Macaca mulatta: one gene and its partners. The protein of the gene in region 2 interacts with the protein of the main gene of each other region in a biochemical or structural test. Links are inferred from orthologs where the notes say so. Each region holds a gene or a part of one and is shown on either strand. Other genes may lie near its edges.

Region 1 (4,027 bases), on a different chromosome or scaffold from region 2:
GGTAAATTCTAGATTACTGTGTCAACCTAATATTTTCTATTTGGCCATAGATGTAAAATCTACCAAATAAAAGTGGATTTTGTGGTCTACAACATTTTGTTTAAAGTGAATTCATGTCTGCTAACACTGTAAGTCTGCCATTTAATCCAGAGTGTTAGACTACTAATGAATATGGTAAGGAAAATATAAAATATTAATGGTATCTGCTTTAATTTTATTTCCATATATATTTATTATATACACACTGCCTATAGGTTCTGTTTAAATAATAATCTGTTAAATAAATAATCTCTTAAGAAAAAAAATCAGACTTTTCTGGGCAGGTGATTTAAAGCTGAAAACAACCAATTAAAACTACCACTTTTTAAGTGACCTTTGGTCACAAATGTCAAAATGTTTCCACACCCTTTCCACACTCAAACAAGAGACAAATTGTTTTTGATAAACTCTAGTATTTATTAAATTATAAATTTTGTAATCAAAAAGAAAAATGCTGACCAGAAAAACCTCAAACTATAAGACTAGACAGCAAAGCCTATGGGAACGCCATGAAGTGTGTTACAAACATTCTGAAACATAAGTTACTGGCTGTTTTCATTTCCGTATCAATAACTTTACTATAAAATAGTAGTTATTCATCTATTTTGAAATCCCAAATTCACATCTATTCTTACATTAAATTATGCTTCCTGCTCATAATATCAAACATCTCACAGGTGCCAAATTTTAGTAATGGTCTTATGCCAATCCATGCAGAAAAATAAGACACAATGCAGGAGTCAGATGAGGACCATTAATGCACAGATAATACAAACACACTGGCCAAAAGAACTACAGAAGTTTTTAAAAACTATAAAGTAAACAGACCTCGAGAAAACTGGGTTATTACTAAACAGCTCTCAACTATTAACACCCAAGTTCCTTACATTAAATAAATTTCTCAACAGAGACATGTTAGACATTTTGATTACGGGTCTATCCTTCCCATACCCCTTCCCACCCCAACTCCCAAAATGCACTACTAGGGATGAGTATAATGTTATGTGGGCAGAAATTTACAGGTAACCTTTTCAACCTTGAGCATGGAGCTGAAGACATTTTTATTTAAACTTCAGTTACTGTGCACTGTCCATCAGGCCTTCTAGATCTGACACTGACACTCACTGTTCCACCCCCTGCTACTGATCGATCAGTTCCCGATTGATCTGATCGATCGGATACTGTCTGGTTTGCATTAGAAACCAAAAGTCTCTGTTGGGTCAAGGAGTGCTGTGCAACAACTGCAGATGATACATTCTCACTATCACTACTGGCATCTGATTCAGTTTCTTCAATGGAGGTGTCTGGTGCTGGTACCCTGCCTGAAGATGGTGATTCATGATCTTCTTCTCCTTCTCCCCTATGACTCCTTTCAGCTATGCTGTCTCCACTGAGTTGTAAATGAGCAAAAGAGTCTTCCAGAGAAGTGCTTGCATCAGGGGATGGTGTTGCAGGGCTTGTTAACTGACCATCTACTGACGTTAGGGGCCTTACAGAAGACACTAGGGGCTGAACAGAAGCTCCACTCTGTGCTGATACACTGTCCGCTCCATCAGCAGAGCTCTCTCTTGCTAGGTTTACGGTATTAGCATCACAGTCTAGCCTAAGTCCAGCTACTCCCTTCTTTGGTATATCTATTATATCTCGCTTAATCTTCCTGCGACGTCCATGTTCATTTCTCCTATATTGAACCATGTTTTCAAGATCAGCGACATACAGAAAGCCAGCAATTAACATTTCAGTGTTCTTTTTACCTTTGGAAAAAGCATCTTCCAGCTCTCTACTAGTGCGCTCATCGTACTGCCACCACCCATTTCTTCCTTCATAATACCATGCATATTCACCATTTCCTCTACTTGCTGCCTTGAGTTCTTCTGGTGACAACAAGGTTGGCTTGTCAAGGAAATCCTCGGGAATTTCTTGTCGACAAAGAGCACACCGCTTTCCAAGCCATGAAGCTCCTTTTACACATAGATAGCAGAAAACGTGCTTACAGGGCAGACTGACTGGATGAACACATGTTTGCAGACAAATGGCACATTCAGGGACGGTTAAAGAAGGTGCAGTATTAGAACAGGACTCGTTTGCTTTCCTGTTTGTAGGAAGCATGTTTATTGAATGATCAATTTCACCACAGCCAGCCATCCTAAGAAAAAATACATAAAATATTAAAGTCATGTTTTAATTCTTGCAATATCTTAATTCAACAATTATGAAAATACTAACCACCTATTATGTGCATTATATGCAAGCCACATTCTAGACAATGGGGATATGAAGATGAAAGTAGAAGAAAAACTCTCCAACCAATGAAAACGTTTTATAAGCATTTACTTGTACATACTTTGGGAATGTATAAAAATTCCATCAGTGCACTTACAGATCGGCCCTGGAGAAACACACTGAAGAACTATATAATGAAAAGCTGCATCCAGTGGAGGGAAAAAGGATCATGGCAGCTATTATACAGTGAAATGAATGCTAGACAAGAAATCTAAAAATCTGAGTTTTAGAGTTCTTTATTAACTATGTGCTCTTAGGCATGCAGTTCAACCCTTAGTCTAAATTTCCTTACCTGCAAATCAGAGTTTACAAAGCTCAGGTAAAAATGAACAAAAAAAGTGCTTTGTAATCACTAAAGCTTCATAAAGGTAACAATCACATAAGACCAAGGGAGAAAATAACATGAATATTGAAGATGCCCTGAAGAGGAGGAAGAAAAAAGATTTGTCAAATTGGATGTATCCAGCTTAAACACTGACATAAAATTTATAATTTCTGCCTTGCTGATTCAGATAAACGTTTACCAAACACCTACCATGGTCTAGATACTAAGTACTGATGGGTCTAATGATAAATAAGACACTCAAGTACTCTGTTAAATAAGGAAACAAATATGCAGATAATTACAATATGGCCTGATTCCTGCATAATCAGAATGTATTAACATACTTACAAAAATAACAATGAGAGAGACAGAGATGAGAGGATGGACATAGGTTAGAAAGTTTAGTGTTCATTCAGAGGGGCCTGGGCAGTGGAGCAGATTCCAGGCAGAGGCATGTGCAAGACACTGAGTCAAATAGTCATACAAGCAATGGAAGAGCAGGAGATGAAGGTGTAAAGATAATCAAAAGCCAAGTCATGAAAGCCTTATTGTGCCCTGCTAAGGAAACATTTAATTTTTTTTTCCCCATAGTTAAAAAAAAAAAAAAAATTAAAAGGGGAGAAAATAATAGAGGGAGGAAACCACTGATAAGTAAAGAAGACTGAGAAATGAAGATGAAGATGTGAGAGATTAAAGCTTAAAATGCATGACAATCTTTGTGCCAGCTAATTCTGCCATTCTAAATGGGTCCAGTAGTTACAAAAGATATAGTCACTAACAATGCTTACGCTCATCAAAAATTGAAAAACAATAATCCTAGGCTATCATCACAGCACATCCAATCTTAAAACAATCCTTTTTTTTTTTTCTTTTTACAGCCTTTTCTGTGTTCTTGGTTCCTCAATAGACAAGGCTCAAAAAGATGGCAATTTTCTAGTAAAGGAAGCAACACATTAAGTTTTTAAAAAGATGGCACATATTTAGTAAAGGAAGCAACACAGTTTCAGTGGAAGAACTGATCACTAAAATGCTTAATTTCCAAATTATTTTCAACTTTTAATAACATTTCCAATCAATTCCTTTACCAAAAATTCTAGGTTATAGACATCAAGAAAGTACAACTTTTTCCTAACCTATGGAAAGTTCTAAGTCAGGGGTGTCTAATCTTTTGGTTTCCCTGGGCCACACTGGAAGAAAACGAATTGTCTTGGGCCACACATAAAATGCATTAACACTAATGATAGCTGATAAGCTAAAAAAAAAAAAAAAAAAATCACATAATGTTTTAAGAAAGCTTATGAATTTGTGTTGGGCTGCATTCAAAGCCACCCTGGGCCGCATGTCGCCCACAGGTTGGATAAGCTTGTTCTAAATAAACCC
Region 2 (3,500 bases):
TTGTTGGCCAAAAGGTAGTTAAGTTTAGCTGGGAAGAAACGCCAAAACTCTGAACAAAAGATTAAAATTGTGCTAAATCATGCTATTAGTTAGATATCTACTCACTTAACGCATAGTATGCATTTAACAAAGTCGTAAATGCCAGGGAAGTTTTCTAGATTTTATTTTATTTTATTTATTTATTTTTGAGATGGAGTCTTGATCTGTGGCTCAGGCTGGAGTGCAGTGGCACAATCTCAGCTCACTGCAAGCTCCGCCTCCCAGGTTCACACCATTCTCCTGCCACAGCCTCCCGAGTAGCTGGGACTGCAGGCGCCTGCCACTATGCCTGGCCAATTTTTTGTATTTTTAGTAGAGACGGGGTTTCACCGTGTTAGCCAGGATGGTCTTGATCTCCTGACCTCATGATCCGCCCGCCTTGGCCTCCCAAAGTGCTGGGATTACAGGCGTGAGCCACCATGCCTGGCCAGTTTTCTAGCTTTCAACGTTAGTATGCTTACCCCATAAGATGCCGCATTATGAAGAGGAATTAAACCACCCTTGTCCTGGGCATTAACATCAGCTCCATGCTCTAGAAGATATTCAGCTACTTCCAGGTTATTGTAGCCTGCTATTTAGAGTAAAAAAAATACAGGAAACGTGTCAGCTTAAAAGAAAACAAATACATACATATAAAATAAGGACCAGAAAATGTTAAGGTTTTAATACTTTTTGCTTCAAAAGTTAATACTATTATCTCATAATGGAGGGACTTCACAATAAGAAATTATACAAAACTATGTCAATCAACAGCATTTTACTAAGTAGTCCCATTTATGTTCAGCATGGCTTTCATCTTTTAGTACACTGTATCAGGTGTCCGAGAAAGGAAAAGGAGGCGTGGAGGCACTGGGGGGCGCTCACCTGCCAAGTGCAGAGGGGTTGAATTTCTGCCCTGGGTGTCTCTGCAGTTGATATTTTCGGGGGTACAGAGCTTCTGCACTCTTGCCAGGCAGCCCTTCTTGGCAGCATCCAACAAGGCAGCATCCCCTCTCAGTAAGTCCTGAATATCTGTGTCTCCTTCTTTTACCAAATCCAAAGGTGTATTTCCATCTCTGTTCTTTTTAGTTGGATCTGCCCCATGCTACAAAGAAGAAAAACCAAATGGGGTTTGTATTTTCTATAGTATCTTTCTGTAGTAAGTAGGTAGGTAGGTAGGTAGGTACTTAATTTACTCTACCTTTGTTCCTCCAGGGGAAGGTATCTATGCTATATGCATTTTGAAAAACACTTTGCAAAATTCCTACTTAGCAATATAATGGATCAGCTTTCTAACTATTAATACTACTCAGTAAAAGCTTCAGGATCAATGGTGATGATAAAGTAGGGAGACTGTTAAGTATCTTTGAGATAACTTGTTTAATATACTTTTTCTCTGATTCCAAGTTGTCTTTGGAAACCTATTTTACTTTGAAGAATAGCATGGATGTTAATTTTGACCAGATTCAATTACATAAAGATACTCAGTAGGTATGAAAAAGAAGAGAGTAAGACACGCTGGTAAAAAAGGACTTAATTCTAAAGGCCATCTTTAGATAAAGTTTGGTAATATTTTTAATATTTTTATCCTAAGTCTTAACATCTACCATGAAATTAGATATAAAGGTATTAAAATTAGAGATTTTAAAAGTTTAATTACCAATATCTATTAAATAAAGTAAATAGAAGTCAGTAATTTTTATTATAGGTTGGCCACAAACTGTAGTGGGCTCACTGAGGAAATTAGTTGTAAGTCAAGTTGGACAATGGATTCACAATGACTTGGAAGTTATTTCTTACCAACCAGTGATAATAAAAATGAGTATCAGATACTGTGTTTTTCTCAAGATTCATAAGAACATATTTGATATCATAAAAGTGAAGGGAGAAGAATTTTATTTAAACACATCAATTTTTTTTTTCTGTAGTTAAAAAAAAGCAAGAGAAAATCTCATAAATACACATCTGGTCATTTTTTAAAAATATACTTTAACTTAAAGTGAGCATAAATTATAGTTAGTTTCATATAACTACTAGTTTTTACTCTTTTACATGTATCTCAAATCTATATGAACAACTTTGTCTAGAGATTATCTTATATTTTAATAAAAATCTGTTATTAAAATAAGTTCTTAAAAGATAAAATGTTTAATGTTTACTAATGAAGAATGAGTTAGTTAACAATAATAAAATAGCCAACAAGGAAAAAAAAACCAACTAGATTGAAAAGCTTGTTTCTCCTGTACAATTTTTTCTGTTATTAATACTATAAGTACTAGATAAGCAATGCAAACTATTTCAGCTCTTTGTAAAACCTACTTTGATGAATTTTTATGACATGGACTTAATCAAACCATTTCAGATATTAAGCTATGTATCGTACCACATAAACAGTCTTCGGGGAAATAGAAAATGAGAGCAGTCTTTACAGCAGTATTGTTCTTAATAGAATAACATACCCCAACTTACTTTCAAGTAACAACCAAAATATAAATACAATTAGTCTATATTTCATAACTTTTTAAACTACATACTTTTAAAAGGAGCTTGCAGATTTCATACTTTCCTTTAGCTGCTGCTTCATGGAGAGGGGTAAATTTCCATAAGTCCGCCACATTGACAGAAGCCCCATGCCTTACTAAAAGCTCAGCCACCTCATAGTGTCCATATGAACAGGCATTATGAAGGGGCACCAAGCCACTAAGCAAAAGAAAATTATTTTAAAGTTATAAAACAAATCTTTGAGTTAAAATGATTCTTATAATAAAAATACTACCATTCTTCTACGGTACTGACTATACTGAACACTGCTCAAAAAGAAATACACCCACCTCTGTTCTTTAAGATATAGTTATCCATTTGTAAATAAGGAGTAGTAATTTCAAAAATGTCCTTTCAATGTAAAGACTTTTTCCTAAGTTTCTTGGGGATGGATATATACTCACAGCAATCCTTATCTTTATGAGTTTTACTAATGAAAACTGTATGCTTACTTATAAAAAATATAATGCAATTAACTTATTTAGGCAAGTTCTATCTTGGTAAAAAGTTGTTTAAATCATAGTGGTGATTGAATCATAGTGGTTTAATCATAGTGGTGATTCAGTGGTGACTTCCGTGCAGAGGTTTAAATACTGAGGTACCAAACAATGAAAATTCACAATCCAGGTAATTCAGAAAAGTATTCAGTGAGAAAAATGATGATGTCAACTGTAAGTGCTACTCAGATAAGAAACGGGCAAACTATTCTGAGAGGAGTCTAAGCTCTGATCAGTAAGCAGTTGACATTCTAAAAGGACAAAAAGATGCTCCCACAAAAGAGTGCATCAAAAGAACAAAATGTCGAACTTAACACATGGCAGAAGCAAAGTATTGAGTGCATTTTTTTTTTTTTTTAGTTTTGGGATGAAATATGCTAAGTGTTAAAATGAGCAATAGAAGCAAATGCTGCTTGCTCTCCAATACACTGTAACACTTTGAAA
Region 3 (4,089 bases), on a different chromosome or scaffold from region 2:
TTCTTATCTTCTAACCCCAAAGTCCTAGCGCTTCAGGGAGTCACTCACTGCTCCCTCCTCTGACAAACTCTCCAAGACACCCCACTTACAGTCCCCAGAGTGCCCCCTGAGTAGGACGGCCCCGCTGGAGGTGTCTACTCAAAGCAGAGCCAGAGAGTTGCAAAGTATGAAGACTCTGTGAATCACCTCACGGGAGACGGGAAAAACCCGCTCCTCCCCAACCTGGGCTCCGCCTCATTGCCTGCCTCCCCCTTCCCGCTCACCCTCCTTCCCTCTCTCCCTCCCTCCCAAAGCTGGGAGTGGTTCCTTCTCCCCCCTCTCCCTGTTCTCCCTCCACATCCCTGCCCCACTCTCCCCTCCCTCAGAGCTGTCTCATCCAAACACGGAAAAATAAGGAATAAAAAGTAAACATCTGGAATATATTTTTTTCTTTAATTTCTCAATCGCTTGGCTTCAGCTTGGAATTTGATGAGGTAAAGCCAGGGCCTAGTCCTGTTGCCATAGCAATGGCCTCCCACTGGATTTCCAGAGCCTAGCCAAGAGGAAGGAGGAGCCGGCCCAGGCCTGGGCTGGGAGAACGGGACAGGGCTTGAGAATATCCGGGGGGTGGAGTGACTTGGGGGAAAATTCCCTGGGGCTCCACCTTCCAAGAGAGTCAGGGCGGAACAGCCACAGCCTATGAAAAGGGGCTATGTGGGCTTCACTCACCAGCCTTGGGTTGGCTTTAAGGAGTTCTGAGGGGAACAGAAGAAATTAAACCAAGTGGCACAGCCCTGTGGTAGAAGCCTGCCACAGGAGCTTCAGGGTCTGATATACCAAGATTCAAGGCTGGATGGGTCTACCACTTTCTAGCCGTGTGACTTCTCTAAGCCTCAGTGTCTCCAACTGAAAAATGGGATTATTGAGACCCTGAGGGGGCTTACGTGATATAGTACATGAAAACTGCTTAGCACAATGACTAGTACATAATAAGGATTCAATAAATGTTGCCTATGATTACTGTGATTCCATTCAGTGTCACCAATGAGCTAATATCCTGATAAGCACCTCCTCCTCTTCCGTGACCCCAGGCTACCAGCATTCCCAGACCATTCCTTCACTCTCCCAGGCCCTAGTCCTGTCACCTGTTCTTCAGATACTCCACCACCTCCTCAGTTCCCATCCTGGCTCCTGAAGCACTCTCCCACCCACAAAAACATGGAGACCCTGGGGAATAGGGCCCTGCACCTCTCATGCAAGGGGGAAGTTTCCCTCACCCGGTGTGCAGAGCCCTGAGGACAACCCAACCCTCTCCAACCTGCAAGGGGCATTGCCTCACTTAAAACCACCCACTCCAGCTGGTCTGGGAAGACAGCACCAAATTCCAGTGCTCAACCTCTGCAAAATCCAACTCCTCTCCCCTAACGCTAACCCTGCCCCAGGGATTTCAAAGATGGGAAAGGGTATGAAGACAGCAGAGAAACCCAGTACTGTCAACCCACTGGTCAGTCAACCACCACGGAAGACTGCCCACTGTGGGTGTGTGAATAACTATGCAGAGCCAGGCCAAGTGTGGTGGGGGGAGGGGCACATGATAGAAAAAATAAAATTAAAACACAAGATTGTTTCCTTGTCCTTGAACATTATTACTAGGGACATAGTGTGGGTGGTTGGACATGGAAATGAATTGGCTCAGAATCAAAAAAATCCTTTCACCTGAGGTTCTGATGGGCCCCTCTGCGGTATGAGGGGCTGCAGCAATGAAGGCGGGCTCAGAGTCCCCAGGTGCGGAGGTGGCCACAGCAACTCAGAGACCCCAGCCAGGAGCCCCAGGTGAGCAAGGCCACCAAGGCTGTGGCCAGAAGCTGCAAAATCGCAGCGGATCCGAGCACTCCCCACCCCCAAAAGACCAGGAGGTAGAGGGTAGCGGGGTAGAGACGAACTGACCCCTGGCAGATAAGGCCTCCAGAAGGGCTGGGCAGCTCCAGCCCCGGAGGGGACTCGGCGCAGGCGGGGTCGCCCCTATGGACCGCAAGATCTCCAGCCGGATCGAAGGCTAGAGAGGTCGGCAGGGACAGCACGCAAACTGGTGGAAAGAGGGAGGGCCAACGGGAAGATGGAACAGCCCCGGGCAATGGGCTGTCTGGAGGGGCCCAGTGGGGAGCTCTGGACACAGAAGGGACAGCGGCAGCCGAAGAGGAGGAGGAGAAGAGGATGGAGGAGGAGGAGGGGACGGCGGTGGCGGCAGAAGCGGAGGACCTGTGAGCGGGCTGTGAAGCAGCCGGCGAACAGACGGTGGGCTGCAGACGTCGATCAGGTGGGGGCGGACTGGGGTGGCTGGGGGCGTGCCGAAGGAGCCGGGGGAGGGGGCTAGCGCGGCCCAGGGGAAGGGGAGGCAGGGGTCCCTCCAGCGGCTCTGCCCGCCCCCGGCCCCGCCCCAAGCCCTCGCCCCCTCCCCCCTTTCTTCTGGCTCCGCCAGCACGAGCTCCAGACCATGCGCCCTCCGCCCCCGCGCACACGCGCCAGCTTCCCCCGGGCCTCCAGCGTCCCCAGCGCCCCCGGCCCCTGCAAACTTTCCTGGTGACCCCCTCACCGCCACCACCTCAACCCGAGGTCTCGGCTGGAAAGCGCCCACTCCTTCCATGCCCCTCCCCCGCCCCATCCCGGACCCCGCCCCCTCCTTCGCCCGCCCGCCCCCGCGCACTCACGCGCTCGCCCGGGATCCGGCTCCGCTCGGCTCGGCGCCCCGACGCCAGTCCCCGCCGCCGCCGCCGCTGCTACCGCCGCCGCCGCCGCCGTCACCGCGGGACGAAGCCACTGTGAGCCCCGGCGGGGCCCCGCCCCTAGCTCCGCCCAGGCCCACGCCCCCAGGGCGCTCATGAATATGCATGAGCCGGTGGAACCCGGGAGTTGGAAGCCCGTGCAGAATTCGTCCCACCGTCGGCAAACAGGCGCGGCCCAGTACTCAATTATTCATGAGGCTTGCAGATGAGGGGCCCGCCCCAGGCTCAGACCGGGGCGAAACTGACGCAATTCAGCCGGGGGCGCTCGGGTAAAATGGACACCGAGACGACTGCCTAGAGAGACTGCCTTGGCGGCCCCTCCCGGGCCCCGCCGCCTGCACGGAGTGCAGTACCATCGAGCTACGCCGGCAAGAAGGTAGCAGCCGGCGGACTGGAGCGGCTTCCTGGTACAGCCACCTGAGTGCTGAGAACGCGCGCAACGTGGCCACCCCTCCTGTGTCAATTCAGATTTAGAGCCACGGTGAGGAAGTCTGGCAGCTCTGCTTTCCTCAGTAGTGACCTTTATCTCCTTTCAGGCCCCGTCTCAGACGTGGGTTCCTCCCTACACTGAAGTTTGTATCCCCCCTTCTTCCCGTAAGAACAAAAGCTGCACATATACTCCGTACTTTTCTTGCACCCCCCCACCAGGCTGCAACCACCACCACCCTACACACACGCTCATCCTCCCCGACTCTCCAGGCTCACGTTTCCACTCCCCCGGCTGCGGGAAGGACAGTCAATCCTGATTTCATTATCTAAAGCCTTGGAAGACCCTTGACTCATAGGTAAGGATGGGGCCAAGAGCTGCCTCCCCCTAGCTTGGTTGGCTAATGGAGTGTAACCGGGAGAGACTTCCTAATCACATCAGCTCTCATTTCTAGATTCTCAGGTGGCCCAACCGGGCAGAGGCGGGTGAAAACCAATGCTTCTCCAGCCGGGAACAGAACAGGATGTGCCTCGAGACTTGCTTCCCGGCTGGCCAGGCTCTGCCTAGTCTGACCAGGGCAGTAACCACCACCAGTAAAAGTAGGAGCAACAAACCAGGGCTACAAAGAAAGCATAAAGACATGGTTTCCAAAGTCAGTTCCCTTTATTAAATCATTTTCACAGACCAGAAATACAAAATAAAAGTAGAAATAGGCCCCAGGTAGGAGCTACAGGCCTGGCCTCACATGACCCCTGCTCCAGCAACTTGAACAGGACCAGCAGCAGCTACATCCTTAATTAAGGTCGGGAAAGTAAGATGAGGATTTTGATCCTGCATTGCCCTGCCTCCCACCCTCTCTCTCCCCAAATTATAAACAGCCATCCTTGGGAAGCAACAGAG
Region 4 (4,010 bases), on a different chromosome or scaffold from region 2:
AAAAAAGACAGACATTTGTCACAGATGCCAAACACTGGCTCTCTACAGATGCTGAACTACTGTACTACAGAAAACAGCAGCAAATTCTTCCAAAACTAATGGGTTTTATTGTTTTGGTTTTTTTTGTTATTTTGAGACAGGGTCTCGCTCTGTCGCCCAGGCTGGAGTGCAGTGGGGCGAGTTCAGCTGACTGCAGCCTCAGCTTCCCAGGCTCAAGCAACTCTCCAGCCTCAGCCTCTCATATGGCGGGGACTACAAGCAGGAGCCACCAACGCCCGGCTAATTCTTGTATTTTTTGTAGAGATGGGGTTTCACCATGTTGGGCAGGCTGGTCTCAAACTCTTGAGCTCAAAGCAATCTGCCCATCTCGGCCTCCCAAAGTGTTGGGATTACAGGCCACCTTGCCTGGCCCCAAAACTAATGTTTTAATTCATGTGTGAACCAAGTCCACCTTAATTATTTTAAACTATTTTTCAGAGCCCAGGAGAAAATTTTTTTATAATCATGTGTATTTTGGGCTGTCAACTGACAGAAGACTTTTTGGTGTCCCTGGAAGCACATGAACCCCTCCACAAGTTACTGATGTTGTTAAAACATATCCCAATTCCTGAAATCTCTGGGTTTCCACATGGAAGCACACCAAGCATTTAGTGTACACACACGTAGACACCACACATAAAGCAGTTATGTTTACTCAGGTTAGCATCAAATGCCCGCAAGCACTGAATCTGGCCCACAGCCTGTAGCTACCATCAATAAAGTGAGTCCATAAAATGGGCAGGATGCCTACAAGTCTGATATCGTATTTAAAATTCCCTTTCATCACTGCTTAGGCATATGCCCCAGGCACCATGGCAGCAAACTCAGTGCTACCTACGTGTGTAGGTATTTATTTTACCCAAACTTAACTTTTGAAATTTTGATTTACATGGAGGATGCAAGTAAAACAGCACGACTCTGACATCTTCCCAGCTGTCCACTGATTTAACTCTTGAAGGTTCAGGGCTACTATTTCACATGTAATTTGTTCCCCCATCACTGAAATTCTCAGTGACTAATGTAATCCGAAAAAGTCTGCTTAGCTTTTCTGAAACTAGAAATCCAAGTCAACACCAGCTGAAAATCAAACAAAAACACTGTTTTTCATGCTTTCCCATCCTTGTCCCCGAATGGAGATCTTAAAACTGAAACTGAGGCCAGGTGTGGTGGCTGACCCTTGTAATCCCAGCACTTTGGGAGGCCGAGGTGGGCGGATCACCTGAGGTCAGGAGTTTGAGACCAGCCTGACCCACATGGAGAAACCCCAACTCTACTAAAAATACAAAATTAGTCAGGTTTGGTGGCACATGCCTATAATCCCAGCTACTTGGGAAGGCTGAAGCAGGAGAATCGCTTGAACCTGGGAGGCGGAGATTGCGGTGAGCAGAGATCGCACTATTGCACTGCACCCTTTATCAATTATCTTAGAAGGGGCCAGGCACGGTGGCTCACACCTGTAATCCCAACACTTTGGTAGGCCGAGGTGGGCGGATCACCTGAGGTCAGGAGTTCCAGGCCAGCCTGGTCAATACGGTGAAACCCCGTCTCTACTAAAAATAGAAAAATTAGCCGGGCGTGGTGGCGCATGCCTGTAATCCCAGCTACTCAGGAGGCTGAGGCAGGAAAACTGCTTGAACCCAGGAGGTGGAAGTTGCAGTGAGCCAAGATCGCGCCACTGCACTCCCAGCCTGGGCGACAGTGCGAGACTCCGTCTCAAAAAAAAAAAATTATCTTAGAGGGGGCGGTGGTCACGCATGTAGTCCCAGCACCTTGGCAGGTTGAGGCAGGTGGATCGCTTGAGGCCAAGAGTTCAACAACACTTGCTGGGCAATATAGTGACACCTCATCTCTACAAAAAAAAAAAAAAAAAAAATTACCTTATAGATGGGCTGAGAAAAATCCCTAGAGAACTGACATGTTTTTCTCTACTTTCTTCAATGCCAAGCCGAAAGTTTCACTGCTCAGGCAATGCAGCTCTGGTTTCACTGGGGGCTAAATTCCAAAGTGCCGGGCGGGAGGTAGAATCTAGGAACCACACCCAAGAGAGAGACGAGTGTTTGGGCAGCGAGGCATCAAACCTGGAGGGCACGAACGCCTGAGCACGCGGCTACTCAGGCCGCACCGCGACCTGGACCCGGTACGCGGCCTCGGCGAGGGCGGGCGGGAGTGCCCTCCTCCGGGGCAGCCGGACTCCTGCCGACTTCTGGGAGGCGGGGAGGGCTCCAGGCCCGGCTCTCCCGGAGTTCCCGCACGCGATGCGCGGCCCCTGCAGCTGCTCCGCGCCCCCAGACGCGCCCGAGGCCTCGGAACTCCAAGCGGCCCCCGCGCCGCCGGTCTCGCTGCCCAGGGACACCCCTGCCCCAGCTCCCCGCGCGCCCACCCCCTCGGCCCCACGCGCGTCAGCCACCCGCGCCCCCCGCCGCTTCCGGGTCCCGCCCGCCCGGCCTAGCGCGGCCTAGCCCGCCCCGGCGCCCGGCCCTACTCACCCGCGCGCGGAGGCGGCGGGGCCCCGGGCCCGGCTCCCGGAGCGGCGCGGCGCAGCCCGGCCCATGCGCTCAGCGGCAGCGCGGCGGGCGGGACTCGGCGGGGGCGCGGCCCGGGGCGGCCCCCATCTCGGCGGCTGCGGCTCGGCGGCCCGGGGGCGGACGCGGGGCAGGCCGCGGGGGCGCCGCAGGGGCCCAGCCGCCAGCTCCCACCCGCCCGCTCCGCGTGGACGCGGCTCCGGGTCGACTCCGGCCGGCTCTGGCGGCGGCAGCGGCCACGATTGCCTCCGGAGCCGGAGCCCGAGCCCAGAGCGCCGAAGCCCAGGCCCGAGCGCCCCCGCCGGCGGCGCCCGGAAGTGCGGGGGCGGGGCCGGGGCGCGGGGACGAGGTGAGAGCGCGGGGCGGGGCCTCAGCTCGGGGCGGGGCCGACAGCGAGGGGACGAGGTAAAGAGCGTGGGGCGGGGCTTCAGGCGCGGGGCGTGGCTGAAAGCGCGAGGATAAGGTGAGGAGCGTGGGGCGGGGCAGACAGCGATTGGACAGGTGAGGAGCGCAGGGCGGGGCCCAAGCACGGGCGGGGCCGGAAGCGAGAAGACGAGGTGAAGAGCGCAGGGCGGGGCCTTGGGAGTGGGGCTGCGGCCAGGGAGCAAGGCGGGGCCCGCCTCGAGCCGAAGAGGTAACGAGCGTGGGGCGGAGCCTCGTGCGCGGGGCGGGGCCGGAAGCGAGGACGAGGTGAGAAGCATGGGGCAGGGCCTCTGCGTGAGCGGGAGAGGGGTGTGGTCAGCCCCTGCCGGGGGCGGGGCGCGGCGGGGGCGTGGTCGCGCGGTCTTCCCGAGGGGCGACGCGGAAGCAGAGCCGCGGCGGCTGCGGCTTCCCGGAGTGCGGAGTGGGGGAGGCGCCGCTGCAGGTGCTTGGAATGGCTGCGACCGTGGGGAGCGCTGGGCGGACTGCCCGCCCCGACGGGCGCACGCGGGGCGCAGCCCTTTTCTGCCGCCAGTACATCGGTGGGCATCCAGGGGGCTGCAGGCCTCGGGGCTCCCTGCCCCGCCGGCCCTGGACCGGAGGCCCCCGCGGAGACCGCCACGGCCTGCCAGCCGCCGTGAGGGAAGCAGGCTCCCAGGAGTTGGGTGGTCGGCAGGCAGGGATGGCCAGGTCCCTTGGAAGGTGGCGTGGGCTCCACCCTCCTGAGTCCCCAGGCAGCCGGGACTCACAGCGCCAGGGAACACATTAGGCCCCAATATGTGCTGGCTGTCACCCGGACAGGAGCCACAACCTCCAAGGAGCCCACCGGCTAGGACCCTCTGCCTTGATTTCTCCCAGGCACCATCTAGTATCAGAGAAGGGTTCTCCTTCCCTCCGCTGCCCAGGCCAGCCTGAGAGGAAGGCCATTGGAGTGTCTGAAACCCTGCAGCCCCTCCCCTGGGCTGTCTCCACAGCGGCCCTGCCAAGGGGTGCAGTCCAATCCTGCCATCTTGGCTGCCCAGATCCGTG

What was found. The genes of interacting proteins can lie anywhere in the genome.
Region 1: the proteins of TNKS (region 2) and RNF146 form a complex in vitro, tested with the Homo sapiens proteins (3 studies listed by BioGRID and IntAct, with this or other methods). The link is inferred for Macaca mulatta from reciprocal best matches to the Homo sapiens genes TNKS and RNF146.
Region 3: the proteins of TNKS (region 2) and TNKS1BP1 form a complex in vitro, tested with the Homo sapiens proteins (2 studies listed by BioGRID). The link is inferred for Macaca mulatta from reciprocal best matches to the Homo sapiens genes TNKS and TNKS1BP1.
Region 4: the proteins of TNKS (region 2) and AXIN1 form a complex in vitro, tested with the Homo sapiens proteins (2 studies listed by BioGRID). The link is inferred for Macaca mulatta from reciprocal best matches to the Homo sapiens genes TNKS and AXIN1.

What each region holds. Positions count from the first base shown.
Region 1 is NC_133409.1:32,293,987-32,298,013, reverse strand, and holds RNF146 (E3 ubiquitin-protein ligase RNF146), read right to left. Parts: upstream 2,684-4,027; 5' UTR 2,615-2,683; intron 2,186-2,614; coding exon of another isoform or gene 2,185-2,185; coding exon 1,105-2,184; 3' UTR 501-1,104; downstream 1-500. UniProt on the Homo sapiens protein: E3 ubiquitin-protein ligase that specifically binds poly-ADP-ribosylated (PARsylated) proteins and mediates their ubiquitination and subsequent degradation. May regulate many important biological processes, such as cell survival and DNA damage response.
Region 2 is NC_133413.1:11,544,651-11,548,150, forward strand, and holds part of TNKS (poly [ADP-ribose] polymerase tankyrase-1), read right to left. Parts: intron 2,719-3,500; coding exon 2,553-2,718; intron 1,124-2,552; coding exon 904-1,123; intron 611-903; coding exon 501-610; intron 1-500.
Region 3 is NC_133419.1:16,081,413-16,085,501, reverse strand, and holds the start of TNKS1BP1 (182 kDa tankyrase-1-binding protein), read right to left. Parts: upstream 2,801-4,089; 5' UTR 2,688-2,800; intron 265-2,687; exon of another isoform or gene 90-264; intron 1-89.
Region 4 is NC_133425.1:1,567,056-1,571,065, forward strand, and holds the start of AXIN1 (axin-1), read right to left. Parts: upstream 2,801-4,010; 5' UTR 2,526-2,800; intron 2,410-2,525; exon of another isoform or gene 2,118-2,409; intron 2,065-2,117; exon of another isoform or gene 1,917-2,064; intron 1,889-1,916; 5' UTR 1,887-1,888; coding exon 1,809-1,886; intron 1-1,808. UniProt on the Homo sapiens protein: Component of the beta-catenin destruction complex required for regulating CTNNB1 levels through phosphorylation and ubiquitination, and modulating Wnt-signaling.